2 linked regions of the Nothobranchius furzeri genome follow. The protein of the gene in region 1 purifies or fractionates together with the protein of each later gene. This does not show direct contact. Links are inferred from orthologs where the notes say so. Each region holds a gene or a part of one and is shown on either strand. Other genes may lie near its edges. The genes, in order: wwox and vopp1b.

Region 1 (3,825 bases):
CCCTGGCGAGGTTTTCCAGGCACGTCCAACCGGGAGAAGAGCTAAAGGGAGACCCAGGACAGGTTGGAGGGACTACAGTATGTCTTTCGGCTGGCCAGGGAACGCCTTAGGATTCCTCTGGAGGAGCTGGCCCAAGTGGATGGGGAGAGGGATGTCTGGGCCTCTATTTGGGCTGCTGCCCCCACAACCAGACCCCAGATAAACGGATGAAAATAGATGGATGATAAAATCTCAACTTCCAAGTCATCTGTTTACAAAAGACAGTTCCCAAAATGTTGTCAAAAACTCATGAGAAAGTTGAGATGTGCCTTTTTTTTTTGTTTTACAAGGAACCAAAATGACTCAACAAAACACTTTAAACCACAAGAGACTTTGTTTGTTTATAAGAAAACTCCACAGAGCACTTTTAGCCTTCCCAAATTAAGACGCATTCATAAAAAAGAAATGCATCTGTTCTCATTAAAAATTAAAAAGGTCGATAAGCCATCAATTTAAAAGAACGTTTAATAGCAATAAATCTTCCCTGTGGTAAAGTCTAGTTTTATGAGCCTGTTCTTGAAACCACTGATGCCAAACTAAGCACCATCTCTGTAGTTATTTGTGTTTACCTGTGGGACTCTGAGGATACAACCACGACTCGGGCAGGAGCAGAACGACGCAGGACGTCCTGCAGGCACTGAACGAGGAGGAAGTGACCCAGGTGGCAGATCTGGAAGGTGGACTCAAAGCCGTCTTCGGTTAGGTTCCAGGGCGGGGTGCACACTGCCGCATTACACACCAGAATGTGTAAGGGTCTACGGTGGAAAAACAAAACAAAACAAAACAACATTGATTTTCATACCACAAAAAAATGTGGAAATAACAAAGAAGTGAAAACAGAGATTTTAGAGTCCTGTAGAGAGTAACACAAATACGATACAGAGATTTCTCCTGAAAGTCCCTTTGGTACACAAGTATCTCAGATACTAAATGCAGCTGGCAAGAATCCAAGAGCAGCAACATGACAAGAAACCATTTAAACACTCTGCTGGTGGACCTAATGGGTGATGATGCGGTGCAAGTACTCCGAGTAACCGAATCTACCACTAGAGCAGCCTGGAAGATGACAGAAATAACGCTCACAAGTCCTGATGTTTTAAACACCTGGCAGAGGCCTGTGGGGTTTAACAGGCCCAGGCATGTGCTGGATTTCCACTGAACGGACGAACAGATCTACCTCCACACGTGGCACAGGAAAGGAGGCTCCTGGATTGGTCAAAGGAGCGAGAGATCCTTGTCGGTGACAGTGATGCTCCAATGAGCTCAAAAGCACAGTAACACAGGCGAGCAATCCAAACACACCCCACCAATTTTTAATTTCTTCCATTAGAATTAATTATGAGGCCAAAGGCAATTTGTGTACCCTGTGTTTAAGACTGCCTACTGGATTAATTAAAAACTGGATGCTGGAAAATTAATGTGTGAATTGTTATGCCTTTCTATAATGAGCCATCCCATGCCATTACATAGTAGTGCACTGTACGATCACCTTCAGGCCTCTGAACACACTAGGTTCATTAAAGAGCACAAACCTAGGCGGTGAGTCAACTTAAAGAATGCCAACCTCAGCATTTAATCAACACACACACATACATGCACGCCAGCAGTAAAGTACTTAGTTTTTTTTACCAAAACACAAGAAGCTGAAGTTAAATTTAATGGTTTGGAGGAGAAAACACACGTGCAATTTCATCATTTGACAGAAAAGATAAAAGTTGCCATCTTGCTGCTAAATTCCTCTGTGATTAAAAGACAGCAAATCACAGGTGTTGTCATTGGCCCCGAGTGCTGCTGTCCAACAGAGTGTGAAGTACAGCATCATTGTGCAACACAAGGAAAAACCCTTGGCTCGGTCCTCATCGGGCTCACTAGGGGCTTCACAATAACATCAAGGCACAAACTCTTGACCCAAGTTTTTAACCTTTCACTGAAGTGTTTGCTCTAAACTAATATTTACGCTATGAGAATTAAACGCTGTGACCTTTTCCTGCAAAGACAAAGGGGCAAAGCTTGTCACTCCAAGTAAATTGCACATTTATGATGGAAGAAAAACTCACATAACCAACTTTTCTCAGACCAGCAGAGAGAATTTCCCCCACAGCTCTTGGATGGGCCTCTGGTGAGTCTGCTTGTAATGTAAAAGGCCTGTTAATTCAACTGCCCACCAGTTAGTCCCTCTCTCATAAGCGCAGGTCTAATGAATGTCTTTAATAGGCCTATTGCTGCAGACCACAGTCCCTCTCTCCACATTAAGACCTCACACAACACTGTGTGCACTGTGCAATCTCAGCGCTGGTCAAACGAGGGTGTTAACTACCAAACAGGGAGACGTCCGTTTATATATTTACTTTAAATAACCCCCATGGGTGTGACCTCTGACCTCTATGATAATGTAGGCCAGCAGGAAGAGATTGCCTGTGTGAGCTGGTGGTCATTAAGGCAGCACTTTATTGGAAAGAGGAAGCTGGAAACACACCGCTCCTTCTGACCCATATTTAAGCCTAAAGGTGGCTTTAAAATTTAGATATATGAATCGGAAAGTATTCATGACGTAAACGGCAAATGGTGTGATAAGAAAGAGGAATCAGGGTTTAAATGAGAGAAGGATGAATGGAGGAGTATGAAAAAAAGAGAAAAGATCAGCTGTGGGGACAAATTGCACGTGTTAATTACGGCGCGTTCAGTAGAAATTGTATTAGGGCTTTCTGTCAGCGGCGTCCTCCATCAATTATGTCCCAATGAAATCTTGCTGCATTCAACAATATCAATATCCAGGTAATTTCATTTCAAAGGACAGGCAATTAAAGCAGAATCGGGGTCAATGGAACACAGAGCAGCGTGAAAGCCACTGACTAAAGCACTTAAAAGCAGGAGAGTGAGAAACGAGAGAACGAAAAGAAAAAGACTCTGATTACATTTCACCTGTCAATGACACGCTGCAGGAGCATTACTGTGCACACGTGTTTACAAACCCATGTGTGTCTGCATCTGTGCACATAGCTGTCTGAGGAGGTGTGCACATACCTGTGCGTGCGTGCATTTGCGTGCGTGTGTTATGCCTGAAGACATACGTGCAGTAATAGAGTGGTGGTAGACTCAGACAGCTGCCCAGTGCCATTCACAGCTCAGAGCTCCCAGCCTCCACTCCGCTCTGTTCGCCTTCTGATGAGAATTAATGTACTCTGACGTCCCCTGGGAGTCCCGTCCACCCCCAAACCGCACGGCTAATGAAGAAATACAACCTTGCCAAAATACTGAGATAAAGAGAGAGCGACGCAGATGGAGACAACATGAAAGAAGGACAGACAGAGAAACTGCAGATAAACAATTAGTTTAAAAAGCAATGGGAGAGAGAGAGAGAGAGAGAGAGAGAGAGAGAGAGAGAGAGAGAGAGAGAGAGAGAGAGAGAGAGAGAGAGAGAGAGAGCAATGTCATGAACAGAGGAGTGAAAGGAACACGTGGATGAGCTGGAATGAAACTTTGGGAAACGGAGAGAGTGAAGCCACCGTGAGGATTGGCCGTGACCAAAGGCGTGTGCCCTGGATGGCCATACCCTGCCCCAGGGCTGCTATGGGCGATGACTGCCCTGGCGCTCCCCAAAGGGCTCCCTTGATACCAACACACAGACACGCACACCCACACACACACACAAACACACTCCTCTCCATAGAGTCCTACGGGTGGATGACAATATTCATGACCTCAAAATAGCAACGAAACGACCGGATCGGATGCAAGACACACACCATTAAAGCTGACCACAACAAAATAAGTGAGAGAAAGTGT
Region 2 (4,349 bases), on another chromosome or scaffold:
GTGATGCCAGAAAGACCAGGCTAAACACAGATGTGCAGCACGCATGCTGGATGCCACAGCCGTCACACGTGATTTTATTGGTTAAGTCGGTGATTCTGAAGAGAAGACAGCCCCACATGGCCGATCTCGCCTCTCTAACTGCAGAAGGGGAGCTCTAGATAAAAGTTCTACAAAGCAGTCCTCTTTCAGGGATTTTTTTCTCATGGAAAGCTTTCAGTTACTATTTTAAAAAGTTCTCCACACAAGTAACAGATAAGTGAAGACAAAACAAATAAAATTTACTCCTTAAAGCCCATGTTCTGTCTGGCTGTAGGGCAATCAGAACTGCTGTCTGAGTACCGAAAACAAGCCTCACAGTTTTACTCTTACAGGTGATTCACTAGATTCAGCTATAATCCTCCACTTGGTATCTAAACTTTATTAGAGATGCTTTTGGTTGTTTTTAATTTCAAAGAACATGGAGACGGAAATGAAAGAGAATGGGGGAGAGGAATGGAAGAGGGGGTTTCACAAAAATAAACAGTAAAAGATGTACAAGGATCAACTTCTAGACCTAAAGGAAGAGAGAGAAAAGGGGACACACAAAAATGCCCGAGTGCTGTAGGATCAGTGAGAGTTATCCCAACAGGAGCAATACCCTCACTGCTGGCTCCTGGCTCCGATCCAGGAGTCAGGTAATCAGTGGTGCTGGGGCCAAGGCCCGTGTGCGTACGCATCTACTCCCAACGGAGGCTGGTCCTGTGGTCTCAGGGAAACCCTCAGCTGGCACAGGGCATTCTCACGAGGGGCAAACACATCCATGTTGGCTTCCCCAAACATGCTGCACATCTAAGTGATCAGATCAGAGTGACGGTGTCAATCCAAGTCACGACGTTCCCCCTGAACAAGATGTCTGCTTCCACATTGAGGTGACGTGGAATGTAGGTGGTCCTGATAGACAGCAGGTGCACGAGTCCAGCATAGTAGAGCACGTGCAAGAGTGGGATTGAATGAACCGTACCATGGCCATATTTGTACACCTCTGCTACCTAACTGTCTGTGTGAACCTCGACATTATGACCCATGATCAGGGGTACGAAATGTCTGATCACATTTCCCACTGTTTGCTTTACAGCCTGTTTATGTGGGCATAGATCCGGGGAGGCCATGCTTTTCCCTGTCCCATTTTCTATTAGAAGCTCTTGCAGGAGATAGGTGTAGAAGACTATTTTCATGTTAAGCCTGCATGAAAAACTCACAGTGACCGATAGAAATAATCATTGAACATGTTTTACTATTCCACGCACGCTGAAGAGATATAAACAACCCAGAAATGAGCTCAAGCCTCAGGAGGACAGTCTCTGAACGACTAATTATCATTCACTTTCTAGTCATTTGAGTCTGTATTGTTTTTTTTTTATTGGCTTTAGGAGAAATTGGTCATCACAACCACTTTGCGCGCGCGTCATGGGAGTGGGGAGGGGCATAACGCAGCATCACCACCGGGTTCTCCCTCTCTATCTGGCCCGCCCTCCTCTTGCTTTCCTCGGCTATTAGACACGAAGAGTCCGATGCGCTGCTGGTGGATCTGGGTGGTCTCCGGTATTGGGAGGATGAAACCGAAGTAAAGGAGCAGCTCCACCTCCTCCTCGTTCTCCTCTCCTCCAGCAGCAGCAGCGGAACTTGGCTTTCTGCTCTCATACCGGCGTAGCCATGGGGACCCCACCGGTCGGACTAGCCGTGACATTGTGCTTAATCCTGGAGGTGAGCGCTGTCTATCATTATCGCGGCCGCTTCGGTGCGGTAGTCTCGGGGTTGTGGCTTTGGTGCGTTACTCCTTGTTCTGGGTTCGGTTCTGACGGAAGCACCATTATCCAGCAGCATCATGTAGTAATCACATCACCATGACACCGTCTGGGGCCCGAGCCATCCTCCAGAACAGAGCAGAATCTGTCCCTCTGGGTGGAGACGGAAACAGAGGGGAAATGAACAAAGGAGCTGAAGCAGCTGGAGGAGGAAACACCTGCACTGTTAGGCGTGGTTGGTGCTTCTGTCATCCTTTGTGTTCTCATGAATCCTCAGTAGGTCACTGGACCTGTAGGACACACACACACACACACGCACGCACGCACGCACGCACACACACACACACACACACACACACACACACACAAGCGCACATGTAAACACACACACACACTCACCTACACACATGTAAACACCCACACACACACACACACATGCACACGTAAACACAGGCACACACACACACACGCACACACACACACACACCTACACACATGTAAACACACACACAAGCGCACATGTAAACACACACACACACACATACGCATGCACACACACACACACACACACACACACACACACACACACACACACAAGTGCACATGTAATCACACACACACACCTACACACATGTAAACACACACACAAGCGCACATGTAAACACACACACACACACACACATACGCATGCACACACACACACACACACACACACACACACACAAAAGTGCACATGTAATCACGCACACACACACAAGCGCACATGTAAACACACACGCACACGTAAACACATGCACACACACACACACACACACACACACACACACACACACACACACACACACAAACAAATAAACACATGTGCACACACACACAAACTGACTAATTCTAACTGATGGATATTTGCAGTTGTGCCCATTTTGACTGACTCTATCATCTCTTTTATTCTGCTCTGTTTCTGCTGTAGCTGCTCCACCAACACACACGTCTATTCATGCAATATTAACTCACGTCATCATTATTTTATATCACTTGGCTTTCCCACTCATTTTGAATGTGATTAGGAGGAATGCCCTAAAGCCTAACTTATGCTTCTCTGTCTGCATCAGCACAGACATGCAACATCATTATGCATTGTTGCAAGGGCTCTCCAGCTGGCTCGCAGTGACGGACAGAGTAGAGCCCACTTTTCTAACTATTCGTTGAAAGCGACGGAGACGGTGAGCCTGTGATTGGTCAGGTTGCTGCTGCCTTCCTTCATCAACAGCACCACCATTCCCCCTCAAATGGTAAAAGGAGAGCCGAACATATCTTGAAAGTACATACAGTGCAGACAGTGTAAACAAACCGGTTAAAGGGCTACTAAGCCGTGTTGGCTTGCTTTTAGCACCCACTAGTGTCCCTTTAGTAAAAACAAAAGTAAAACTCCTCTCCTTGTGTGTCTTTTTAAAACATAAATCTAACCCCCAAATTCCACTACCTCCGCTCCGCTCTGACACGAACGCCAGAGCAAAATCGGTCCCGTTGTAGTCAATCAGAGCAATTCCACTACTGCGGCAGTGCGGCGCCGTGCACCGCCCTCTGTTCTGGCGTCTGGCAAAAATAGAATCGATCCTATTTTCGCCGGACGCCAGAGCACCTCCGCAGTAAATGGACAGAAATCACAACCGTCCAACAGGAAAAGGAGCGGGCACAACTTCCGTTTTTCACAATAAATCGATAAACAGAATGCGTTTTTTGTTTCATATGCACAGGTTTAACAACTTTTAACAACTATCAATGGCGGCTGAAGTTTAAATGCACAAAAGTAAGCCATGAATACAGTTTCCACTATCAAAGTAGTCACCCTTTGTTGATCCAAACACTGCTGATCTCTCAACACACATGATGGGCAGATTAATCAGTTCATGCCGATGCTTCTCCCACACAACGGGTGTTTGGATCTAACTTCCGCGTTTATTGCTCGGACTGTATCGCAAGATCTCAAAAATCCTGCGCATGCTTGTTTGCCCACCTCAGGTCTCCGCACCAGAGCGGAGCCGGTCTAGAGCGGGTACCAGTAAAAATTGAGTTTGGAAGCGAGCGGCTGCGGAAGGCGGGGGCGGACCGGAGCGGAGCGGAGGTAGTGGAATTTGGGAGTAACTGCTGATGTGTCTCCTCAGCCGTCATTAGTTTCCACATGAGCTATTCACCATTGAATGAAACAAATCAGCTGGGTTCGTAATCTAAAACCATAGACATAGATACTGGACGATAGACTGCCCAATTACCCATTTATTAATTTTTGAGTCAAAAAAGGCGGTTCCCACCACTGCCGTTTTGGTCATGTTGCGTGTCTCATCACATAGCCTGCCCATTGCTCCGCCATGTGCCAAGTTGAAGCCAAAAAAGGCGGTTCCCACCACTGCCGTTCAGGTCATGTCAAGTGTCTCGAATGAGAAAAGCGGTGGAGCTGAGGTTGAAGCAAATGAACCAATGTAGCTACTAGCTAACAGACTGCTGTGATCGTAGCTGGGCTCCTTGGCCATTTACGCCAGTTCATCCTCCGCCGTAGTTGGTTAGCTA

What was found.
Region 2: the proteins of wwox (region 1) and vopp1b purify together in Homo sapiens (affinity purification with mass spectrometry; 3 studies listed by BioGRID and IntAct, with this or other methods). This does not show direct contact. The link is inferred for Nothobranchius furzeri from reciprocal best matches to the Homo sapiens genes WWOX and VOPP1.

The regions. Positions count from the first base shown.
Region 1 is NC_091744.1:72,868,449-72,872,273, forward strand, and holds part of wwox (WW domain-containing oxidoreductase), read right to left. Parts: intron 795-3,825; coding exon 609-794; intron 1-608. UniProt on the Homo sapiens protein: Putative oxidoreductase. Acts as a tumor suppressor and plays a role in apoptosis. Required for normal bone development. May function synergistically with p53/TP53 to control genotoxic stress-induced cell death.
Region 2 is NC_091747.1:31,074,243-31,078,591, reverse strand, and holds the start of vopp1b (WW domain binding protein VOPP1), read left to right. Parts: upstream 1-1,454; 5' UTR 1,455-1,692; coding exon 1,693-1,743; intron 1,744-4,349. UniProt on the Homo sapiens protein: Increases the transcriptional activity of NFKB1 by facilitating its nuclear translocation, DNA-binding and associated apoptotic response, when overexpressed. May sequester WWOX in lysosomal vesicles and thereby regulate WWOX role as tumor suppressor.